3 linked regions of the Callithrix jacchus genome follow. The protein of the gene in region 3 purifies or fractionates together with the protein of the main gene of each other region. This does not show direct contact. Links are inferred from orthologs where the notes say so. Each region holds a gene or a part of one and is shown on either strand. Other genes may lie near its edges. The genes, in order: TFIP11, SF3B3 and DHX15.

What was found.
Region 1: the proteins of DHX15 (region 3) and TFIP11 purify together in Homo sapiens (co-immunoprecipitation; 4 studies listed by BioGRID and IntAct, with this or other methods). This does not show direct contact. The link is inferred for Callithrix jacchus from reciprocal best matches to the Homo sapiens genes DHX15 and TFIP11.
Region 2: the proteins of DHX15 (region 3) and SF3B3 purify together in Homo sapiens (co-immunoprecipitation; 4 studies listed by BioGRID and IntAct, with this or other methods). This does not show direct contact. The link is inferred for Callithrix jacchus from reciprocal best matches to the Homo sapiens genes DHX15 and SF3B3.

Annotation. Positions count from the first base shown.
Region 1 is NC_133502.1:197,235,707-197,239,357, forward strand, and holds part of TFIP11 (tuftelin-interacting protein 11), read right to left. Parts: intron 994-3,651; coding exon 840-993; intron 530-839; coding exon 373-529; intron 1-372. UniProt on the Homo sapiens protein: Involved in pre-mRNA splicing, specifically in spliceosome disassembly during late-stage splicing events. Intron turnover seems to proceed through reactions in two lariat-intron associated complexes termed Intron Large (IL) and Intron Small (IS).
Region 2 is NC_133521.1:31,389,839-31,393,489, reverse strand, and holds part of SF3B3 (splicing factor 3B subunit 3), read left to right. Parts: intron 1-1,914; coding exon 1,915-2,087; intron 2,088-3,073; coding exon 3,074-3,215; intron 3,216-3,651. UniProt on the Homo sapiens protein: Component of the 17S U2 SnRNP complex of the spliceosome, a large ribonucleoprotein complex that removes introns from transcribed pre-mRNAs.
Region 3 is NC_133504.1:169,328,990-169,332,740, reverse strand, and holds the end of DHX15 (ATP-dependent RNA helicase DHX15), read right to left. Parts: intron 2,323-3,751; coding exon 2,153-2,322; intron 616-2,152; coding exon 498-615; 3' UTR 49-497; downstream 1-48.

The sequences.
Region 1 (3,651 bases), on a different chromosome or scaffold from region 3:
TCTTGAACTCCTGACCTCAAGCATTCCACCTGCCTCAGCCTCCCAAAGTGCTGGGATTACAGGTGTGTGCCACCATGCCCAGCCTCATTTTTGTTGATAGAATCACTGATCAGGACCAAAAAAAAGTCTGTCTTCAATCTGTTTGCAGCCTGTTTTAGACCCTAACCCTTTTCTTCCTGTTGAAACAATTATTTTATTTAACTTGAGCTTTGATAAAGCAAGGGAGCTTAGGAGCGTACATGTCTTGTGCTGGCAAACATTTGGCTGGAAAGAGAAAGTGCTTTTAAAAGGGAAAAGAAAACCACCTCTCTCAGTGCCCCTCTCCTTCCCTCTGCCTGGCCTCCATCATGCAAGATGACAAGGGTGCAATACCTTGTGCATTCTTCCCGAGGCCCCGTCCAGGGACGTAGCCCATCTTCTGAAGAAGCTTCTGTCCAATTCCTTTTGTGTGTCTTTCCCAGCTGCCAAAGTCCATGAAAGATTTGGTTCCTCCTGCAAAACCTTTCTGGCTGGGCTTAAAATTGCCACCCTGCAAAGAAAAATAAAAGTAGATGGAAAAAAAACAAAAAGAAGAAAAATCTAAGAAGCTTGGTCAACAGGAAAATGGCCTAAGTTATAGAGTGCTATATAAGAGTGTCACATGAACCAGAAATGTGTTTGGTACGTGCCAGGAAGGAAGAGACTGCACTACACACTTCAGATCTCACAGAAACCTGCCACCAAAAGGAGACACTCAAACAAACTGTGTTCCAGATGAACTCCCTGGCTAGAAAATGCTTGGGCCACAATGACCTTTGAAGGGTATTACTAGGGTCACAATCCTGCAATAGAAACGCTACCGTTTTTAACTTCTTGGGTCCAAAATCCTTAGGAAAGTCATCCTGCTTCACAGGTGTCTCTTCGTCATCAGAATCTTCCAACTCTGCCTCCTCCGCCGCCCCTTTCTTGAGCCCCGCGCTGATAAAGTTCACTGGCGCAGAGTAGTCACGGGCCCTGCAAGCACAGAAACAGACCCCACGGGGCATGTAAAGAACTCCTTTCTCTGCAGAAACTACATGCTTGAGAACTCCTTAGAGTGAACCTCATGGAAGGTTTTTTAAAAAAGTAACACTTTTTTTTAATACATCAAAAAATCAAAAGGACCCTAGATTTGGCTTCCTGTAGTCACACCAATTCCTCGACAGCTGAAGAGTTATTATTCAATGCAGAGCTGACTATAAATCCAAAATATGATGTGATAATACAATTTTCCTACATTTTAAACAATTAATTTATCATAAAAAGCATTTGTTTGAAAAGTATTTCAAGTACAGAAATCCAACAGGAACAGAAATTTTGATGGATAATCGTGAATAAATAAAACCCACTGAAAGATCATATAAATGTAAAGTATGTAACAATTATATTAATCAAACTTAGAAAAAGCTTGTATCATTAAATTTATGTGAATGTGAAAATTTCCAGCTGGGGCAACATGGTGAGACTTCGTCTCTACAAAAAATAAACAAAATTAGCCAGGCGTGGTTGTACATGCCTGGGGCCCCCACGACATGGAAAGCTAAGATGAGAGGATTGCTTGAGCCCAGGGAAGTTGAGGCTGCAATGAGCTCTGGTCATGTCACTGCACTCCAGCCTGGGCAAAAGAGCAAGACCTTGTCTCCAAAAAAAAGGAAAAAAAAAATTACACTGAAGTCTCCTAAGAAATAAGAAATTAACTCTGTAAAATGAAACATACTGATTTAAACTCTGACTGCTTCAAGCACTTACATTAAGTCATTAACCTCAGCTCCTTTTTGTATAAAATCAAGTTGATATATTTGTACTGTGTGGTTTAAAAAAGAAAAAATTACAGTGAAAGACCCTGGAGCTGGGCACAGTGGCTCACACCTGTAATTCCAGCATTCTGGGAGGCTTGAGGCCAGGAATTCTGAGACCAGTCTGGCCAACATGGCAAAAATCCTGTCTCTAATAAAAATACAAAAACTTAGCTGGGTGTGGTGGCACACGCCTATAATCTCAAGCTACTCAAAACACTGAGGCATGAGAATCACTTGAACCCAGGAGATAGAGGTTGCAGTGAGCTGAAGTCGAGCCACTGCACACTCCAGCCTGGGCAACTGAGTGAGACTGTGTTTCAAAGAAAAAAAAAAAAAAACCCTGGGAATATAGCAAATAAAGTGATGCTTTGTAAAATGACCAACTTAGTAATTCAACATCCCCACGGCAACAAGAGAATTCAGGGAGTTTTTTCCTAAAGATATATAATGTAACTTAGTGGTCCAGATCCCAAACTCTGGAGTCAGACAGATAGGTTCAGGTTCCAGTTGTAGCTTAGCCTCTGCCTAGCTGTACGACCATTAGTCTCAGTCTCTTAATCTGTAAAATGGGGATAATAATGGTACCTTTCTCATAGGGAAAATTAATCCAGGTTTGTGAAATAGCCAGAACAAGTAAGCAGTAAAGAGATGTGTTATTATTATCTTATGTTTATGCAATTCTTGATCCCTCATCTATCTGTCATCCACTTTCAGACTTCCTTGATGGAAGAGCTTGGACTAATCTCTGTACTCTTTCTACCCCAGCCTCCTTTGAAAAAGGCACACTCTTGGTCAGGTGGGGTGGCTCACGCGCACCTGTAATCCCAGCCCTTTGGGAGGCTGAGGCGGGTGGATCACAAGGTCAAGAGATGGAGACCATCCTGGCCAACACGGTGAAACCCCATCTCTATTAAAAATACAAAAATTAGCTGGGTGTGGTGGCATGCACCTGTAGTTCCAGCGACTCAGGAGGCTGAGGCAGGAGAATCACTTGAAACCAGGAGGTGGAAGTTGCAGTGAGCCAAGTTTGCACCACTGTATTCTGGCCTGGCCACAAAGCAAGACTCCATCTCAAAAAAATAAATAAAGAAAGAAGGAAAAAGGCACACTCTCAATGGGATGGAGCCTAGAGGCCACAGGTGAGGCCATGGAGGAAAAAAAACCCCAACCTGGCACACCCTGGTGGAGTGAGTTTTAGCCAGGGCACATATAACCCTGTGCTGGGAAGATGTGCAGCCTGAATCCTCATCACCCACCACTATCCCAGCCCAGGCCTCCACTACCTCCGCAGGGACCACTGGCTTGGCCTCCTCACATCACCACGCTATCTTCCACTGTGGCTCCACACCCATTGAGCACACCAGCAAAAGGGTCTTCTCAAAACATAACCCAGCCCCACATCACATCCTCTCTATCACACACACTATGCTCCCCTCCCCCCTCTCTGCTCCAGCCCCCAAAGCCTTTCATACCCTTGTGGACGCTGTGATGCCTCCTATCGACGGCTCTGCATACTCAGACCTCTTCTACCACCCTAGTTATCTTCTACTGTCTGTCATAACCGCTTAAGGGTCACTTTTCTCCAGAGAAATCTTCCCTGACCTCTCAGAATAGGTGAAATGCCCTAAAATATGCTCTCCTTCATGTCCTACATCTCAGTTACAAGTTTCATTGTCTGAGTTGTTAATGCCTATTTCCCTCTTCTAGAATCTGGGCTCCAGGAAAGCAAGTAGGGGTCTATAGCACAGGCCCGATACATAGTAATCACTCAATAAACACTGATAATTAAGTCAGTGAGGCCAGGGATGGTGGCTCATGCCTGTAATCTCAGCAC
Region 2 (3,651 bases), on a different chromosome or scaffold from region 3:
AGTCCTCTCTGAGCAGTCACAAAATCGTTGGATCTAGTGAATAAAGCTGATAATTTTATGAATTACAATTTTTTAATATCCTTAAATCTAGGACTCATTAACAAATTTTGATGAGGTTGAGGGGTAGTGTTTTTTTTATTTTTATTTTTGAGATGGAGTCTTGCTCTGTTGTCCAGGCTAGAGTGCAGTGGTGTGATCTTGGCTCACTGCAACTTCTGCTTCTTGGGTTCAAGCGATTCTCCTTCCTCAGCCTCCTGAGTAGCTGGGTCTACAGGCACCCGACGTCATGCCTGGCTAATTTTTTTGTATTTTTAGTAGAGATGGGGTTTTACCGTATTGGCCAGGCTGGTCTCAAACTCCTAATGTTGTGATCTGCCTGCTTCGGGCCTCCCAAAGTGCTGCAATTACCGGTTTGAGCCACTGTTCCCTGACAGTGGGATATTTAAGATTCCTATTAGGAAGGAGGGGGCCACAATGATGCCATTGTCTTTTTTTTTTTTTTTGTCACCCAGACTGGAGTGTAGTGGTGTGCGATTTGGGCTCACTGCAACCTCCGCCTCTTGGGTTCAAGCGATTCTTTTGCCTCAGCCTCCTGAATAGCTGGGATTACAGGTGGCGTGCCACCATGCCTGGCTAATTTTTTGTATTTTTAGTTGAGATGGGGTTTCACCATGTTGGTTAGGATGGTCTTGAACTACTGACCTTGTGATCCACCCATCTCAGCCTCCCAAAGTGCTGGGATTACAGGTGTGAGCCACTGTGCCCAGCTGCCATTGTCTTTTTGAAAAACTATTTATTTATTTATTTTTAAAAGAAATGGGAGTCTCTCAAGAGATCGAGACCATCCTGGTCAACATGGTGAAACCCCGTCTCTACTAAAAATACAAAAAATTAGCTGGGCATGGTGGCGCGTGCCTGTAATCCCAGCTACTCGGGAGGCTGAGGCAGGAGAATTGCCTGAACCCAGGAGGTGGAGGTTGCGGTGAGCCGAGATTGCGCCATTGCACTCCAGCCTGGGTAACAAGAGCGAAACTCCGTCTCAAAAAAAAAAAAAAAGAAATGGGAGTCTCACTATGTTGCCTAGGCTGGTCTTGAACTCCTGGGCTCAAGCAATCCTTCCTTGACTTCCTGAAGTGCTGTGATTACAGGCTTGAGCCACTGTGCCTGGCTCTACTATCTATTGTCTTTTTTTTTTTTTTTTTTTTGGTGAGACAGTTTTGCTCTCGTTGCCCAGGCTGGAATGCAATGGCACAATCTTGGCTCACTGCAATCTCTGTCTCCCAGGTTCAAGCAATTCTCCTGCCTCAGCCTCCCAAATAGCTGGGATTAGAGGCATGCGTTACCACACCCAGCTAATTTTTTTGTATTTAATAGAGGTGGGATTTAACCATCTTGGCCAGGCTGGTCTTTAACTCCTGACCTCTTGATCTACCTGCCTTAGCCTCCCAAAGTGCTATTTTGATGATTGAGAACAGAATCCTGAGTTATACACTTACAGAGTTAGTGCTGTTAATAATTACTGAAAGAAAACCGGCTGGGCGCGGTGGCTCAAGCCTGTAATCCCAGCACTTTGGGAGGCCGAGGCGGGTGGATCATGAGGTCAAGAGATCGAGACCATCTTGGTCAACATGGTGAGACCCCGTCTCTACTAAAAATACAAAAAATTAGCTGGGCATGGTGGTGCGTGCCTGTAATCCCAGCTACTCGGGAGGCTGAGGCAGGAGAATTGCCTGAACCCAGGAGGCGGAGGTTGCAGTGAGCCGAGATTGTGCCATTGCACTCCAGCCTGGGTCACAAGAGCGAAACTTCGTCTCAAAAAAAAAAAAAAACAACCATGAAATGACTCTAGCTGTTCTGTAAGTCTCTCTTCTCATTATCTGGGAATCTTTTATGTTTTATCTCCTTCAACTACAGGTGCCATTGAGAAACAGAAATTGGTATATATCTTGAACAGGGATGCTGCAGCCCGTCTTACTATTTCATCTCCCCTGGAAGCCCACAAAGCAAACACTTTAGTATATCACGTAGTTGGAGTAGATGTTGGATTTGAAAATCCAATGTTTGCTTGTCTGGAAATGGATTATGAGGTAATGGGGACCATGTCTCTTTGGATTTCTTTCAGTCACCTCAGTGTTTAAGATTGTTTTCTTCCTTGTGCATCTTTTTTTTTTTTTTTTTTTTTTGAGACAGAGTCATGTTCTGTTGACCAGGCTGGAGTGCAGTGGCACGATAACAGCGCACTGTAACCTCTGCCTCCCAAGTTCAAGCTGTTCTTTAGCCTCAGCCTCTTGAGTAGCTGGGACTACAGGCGTTCCCACCACACCCAACTAAAAATAATTGATGTATTTTTAGTAGAGATGGGGTTGCACCATGTTGGCCAGGCTGGTTTTGAGCTTCTGACCTCAGGTGATCAGCTCACCTCAGCTTCCCAAAGTGCTAGGATTACAGGTGTGAGCCACCTTGCCCAGCTCCTTGTGCCTATCTTAGTTCTGTCTTGCTAACAGATCTCCATATTACAAATGCCTTAGTGAAATTCTTTGGGATGTTTCTGAGGTTAACCAACAATTAAATAGCCTTTCTCTGATTTAAGTAATCTCCCTATGGAAACAAGGTTTTTATTGGGAAAAGCTTCATGCAAAAGCTGAAGCTATGTTTAATGTATTTTTTCACAGAGCATACTGTTCTTTGCCTTGAATGGAAGGCAGTATCCTCTAGTAAAGAGATCCCTGGATCCAGAATTTGGAGATTCCACTTCTTCTAGCTCTGCCATTATTTTGTAGTATAAACTTTGTCAAATTATTTGGCATGGTGTAGTGGCATGTGCCTGTAGTCCTAGCTGTTTGGGAGCCTGAGGCCCAGGAATTCTAGGCTGCGGTGAGTTAAGATTGTACTACTGTGCACTGTAGCTTGAGTGACAAGAGTGAAAACCTGTCTTTCGACAACAACAACGAAAATTGACATCTATGGACCTCTGTTTCCTCATTTGTAAAATGGAGTCCTGATGTCCTTTCCAAATCTGTGCATTTTTAGATTTTATGCTGCTGATTAGTTTTTATGCCACTGTTCTCTGTAGGAAGCAGACAATGATCCGACAGGGGAAGCAGCAGCTAATACCCAGCAGACACTCACTTTTTATGAGCTAGACCTTGGTTTAAATCATGTGGTCCGAAAATACAGTGAACCTTTGGAGGAACATGGCAACTTCCTTATTACAGGTACTTATCTTTCAGAGCTGCTCTGTATCCTTTTAGTTGTTTCATTTTATACCCAAACCTAATAGGTTTTGCTTAATAGGGTTTGAGTATTAATTCATTTGCGGTAAATCTGAATACCTTGTCTCTCTTTTTGAGAGGTTAGAATTTCATGTGGTGGAGTGATTTTTAAAAGTGTTGGAGATAGACTGTCTAGCTCCTTAATAACTCATATTAAGGACATATTAAGTAGACAAGTTTAAGGGAGCAGTCAGCTTGGAATATTGATTACTTACTGTTAGTTGCTGTGACAGTTTGGCTATAGTCACTCTTTACCCCTCAATCAAACCTAGCTCTTTGAAAAGCCAAATGAAATGGACTAAACCCATCAAGATAAAACTTGTGAATTTGAAAACGTACACAAAATAGAAATATTTTTGAAGATGGTTACCAGATTGAT
Region 3 (3,751 bases):
TTATACTTAAGAGACCAGAACAAAGATACCAAAGGGCTTTGGCCAAAATTAGTATAAATAGACTTTATTGAAGTCAGTGCCTCTGTACTGAGACAGAAGATTGTGTCTACATAAGCACAAGTTGTAACATTTCACAACTTCTAAAAGGAATGTCAACAATTACAACGATCATGCATACCATGGTCGATAATCACATTTTAGAAGCATTTTCAACCATTTCTAAAGAAATGCTTATAACATTGTTATATATAGAACTACTTTCAATAAACTGCAAAACATTGATCGACTTTTCCAGTATGAGCTACAGTGTCAACACAAAAGGGAGGCATAAATGTTTAATTTATGAAATCAGAATGGAATATTTACTGTAAAGAAAAATTAAAAAGCTTTCAAATAAAGGCCATTATCGAACCAACGTGAAGAGCACAACTTGAACTTTTGAGTTCATTCATCTTTTAAAGCTGTCCTCTGAATAGCTTCAGTTCTAAGCACTGAATTCAGTACTGTGAATATTCCTTGGATTGAAGTTTGGCAATGATGCGGTCCAACTGTCTCTTTGCTTCACACTGTGGAAAATTGCTCATGTCATAATATTGAGGGGCAATTTTCACCAACCTGTTTAGAAAGGGGGGAAAATGACCAAATAAACATTTAATTAAAGTTCTGGAGTTGTTAACAGAATAGGCATTATTCATTAATATACAGAACCAAGGCAAATCTATGAATTCAAGTCTCATAAAAACACAAATAACTAATCCTTACAAATAGCACTTTTAGAAATGTTAGGTATTTAGTAAGATGTACATTTTCTAATGTTGGACTTACCATAAACTTAAAAAAAAAAAAAGAACCCTCAGGATACATTAATGTAAAGGTAACATATAATGTCACCGATTTCTTTACTCTGGCACACTATTTTAACTTGCCTCTCCAAGGATACAGTAATAAGACAGGTTCTGTGTAGAGAACATCATGGTATTCAAATGATTGGATCTTCTCATTTTCAATGTTTTTTCAATGCTTTAATAACTATAAATATAACTTTATATCCCCAAAATACACTTGACTGAAATCTTTTATAAAGTTTAGCTATGCAATTTTTTTCTCAACAAAGCATTTAAGATAAAATGGTAATGTCCTACACAGTTTGTCAAAAGTCCCAAATCTGTGTAAGAAAGCAGCTGTACAATATAAAGCAGTGACAGCACCTAGACTAAGTGCCTTCAGTCCCACTACTCTTGGCCAACATTTCCTATCACAGGTTACAGAATAGATTCTGGCATAAATAAACAAACAAATAAAAACATGTGGGGGTTACTTTTCTTAAAATGAAACAATCTGTTCTGTTTACATTTTGTAAAACCTAGTATGTTAAAACACAAAGAGCTATTATTTTTATGCCTGCACAGTTCCTAAAAACCAATATATAAATAATAAATAGTTGAGAGCTAATTGTAATGAGACAAATGAAATGTTTTTTAAAAAAGCTGACTTCTGCAAACAAGAAAACAGTACTGACTTGAGATAATCACAATAGCAAGAGAATGGCTCCAAAAAAACTCTAAATTTTTTTTAAAAAAGAAAAAACCTTAAAAAAAAATATTTTTAACAGACAGGGTCTCACTCTGTCATCCAGCCTGGAGTACAATGGCATGATTACAGCTCACTGCAACTTTAAACTCCTGGGCTCAAGCAATCCTCCTGCCTCAGCCTCCCCAGTAGCTGGACTATAGGTGTGCAGCACCACCATGCCCAGCTAATTTTTATACACATCTATATATATTTTTATATTGTACAGGCTGGTCTTAAACTCCTGGCTTCAAGTGATCCTCCTACCCTGGCCTCCCCAAGTTCTGGGATTATAGGCGTGAGCCACCATGCCTGGCCCCTAAAGAAACTTTTCATGCTCTTCAAATGTAACTTTACATTTGGCTTCAAATCCTGTCCATAAATGTCATCAATTCCACTGTCCACTTATCAAAGGAAGGGTATGAAAGATTAACAATACATCCAGTCAATTCCCTCATACCTACACAATGAAATATATATCCTTAATAAGTGAAGGCAAGGCCATGACTCTAGTCATGACCAACAGTCAGGTTCCATTTTGAGCAAACTAACAAAAACCTATTAGAACAAAAGGGGTACTTACCATTCTGGCTTGATATCTGTACATGTCCGGATGTAATTCTTTGTTGTTAGAACAAACTCATTATAAAGCACCCATTCAGGTTTGTGGTCAAGAACAGTAGAGGGATGCAACTGAACCACCTGGTTATCTTTCACAGTTAAGTAATGCCCTGTTCGCTCCAAATGTGCCACCTGAAACCAAAATCCAGCATATCATTAATGCAATGATTTTGATGTGCTAGTTGTAAAGTTACCTATATAACTAGGAAAGGCAGGCCTACCTTTTACTTTTCATTCTATAGCTATACTTATTTATTACTGCCTGATAAAAGCAGAAATAAACAAACTGCTGCCTGTGGGCCAAATCCAACTCATAGCCTCTATTTGTAAGGTCTGTGAATTCACAATAATTTATACATCTTTAAAAAATTAGAAAAAAAAAAAATCATATGAAAAACATTTCGTGAAGCATGAACAGCATGTAAAATTCAAACTTCAGGGCCATAAGGGAAGTTTTATTAGAATACACGCATGCCCATTTGTCTATAGCTGCTATCATGCTCCAAGGGCAGGCAGTGTCAGCTAGTTTTGACAGGGATCCCATGGGTTCACAGAGCCCAACATTTACTATCTGATCTTTCCTGCCATAGACCATCTAGAGCAGGCTCTTCAGCACAGGGTGCCATCTATGAGCAGACAAACAATTACCAGAAAATGCATGTGTAAGGTAGAAAACTAAAGCTGGGTGCGGTGGCTCATGCCTGTAATCCCAGCACTTTGGGAAGCGTGGATCATCTGAGGTCAGGAGTTTGAGACCAGCCTGGTCAATGTGGTGAAACCTCATCTCTACTAAAAATACAAAAATTAGCTGGGCTTAGTGGTAGGTGCCTGTAATCCCAGCTACTAGGCAGGCTGAGGCAGGAAAATCACCTGAACCTGGGAGGTTCAGTGAGCTGAGATGAAGTCACTGCACTACTGCCTGGGCGGCAGAGTGAGACCCTGCCTCCCCGACCTTACCGCACCCCCTTGCCCTCAAAAGAAAAGAACATGTCAAAAAGAAGCCAGTACATATAAAAATAAATATTAAGAATATAGTTAAAGAGTTTCAAGAAAGAAATGTTCACGCCTATTATTCACCAAACTCTAATAAGCCTAAGGTATTATATAATAAAATGCCACAATAAACATTCTTAACTGTTACTCAGATTCAAATACAGACATCTCATCAATCTCCTTTGATTTTTGACTCTGAAACTGAGTGTCTTTAGGCTCATATTCTAGCTACTGAGCCCATCTGGCCTTAATGTAAGCCACATCTTCCTTAACAGATATAGCCAAAGAGAGAATGAACAAACAGGAAAGAAACAGAAGAGACCTATCCCAAGGCAAATGATGTACTATTTGCTTCCAATTTTATCATCACAAAATTTTCTAGTGTTTTTCTCAAAGTTTCTCTTATCTTTTAAAGACCTTCAAATAATTGTTTGCAACATCTACTTGACAACTTTTACTTCTGTTATTATAGCTGTTAATACAGCACACGTAAAATAAATAAAACCTTTTAAATTATGTTTCATCTTTATTGCTTAACTCAACAAACATTTTTGGCGTTTGCAGTATG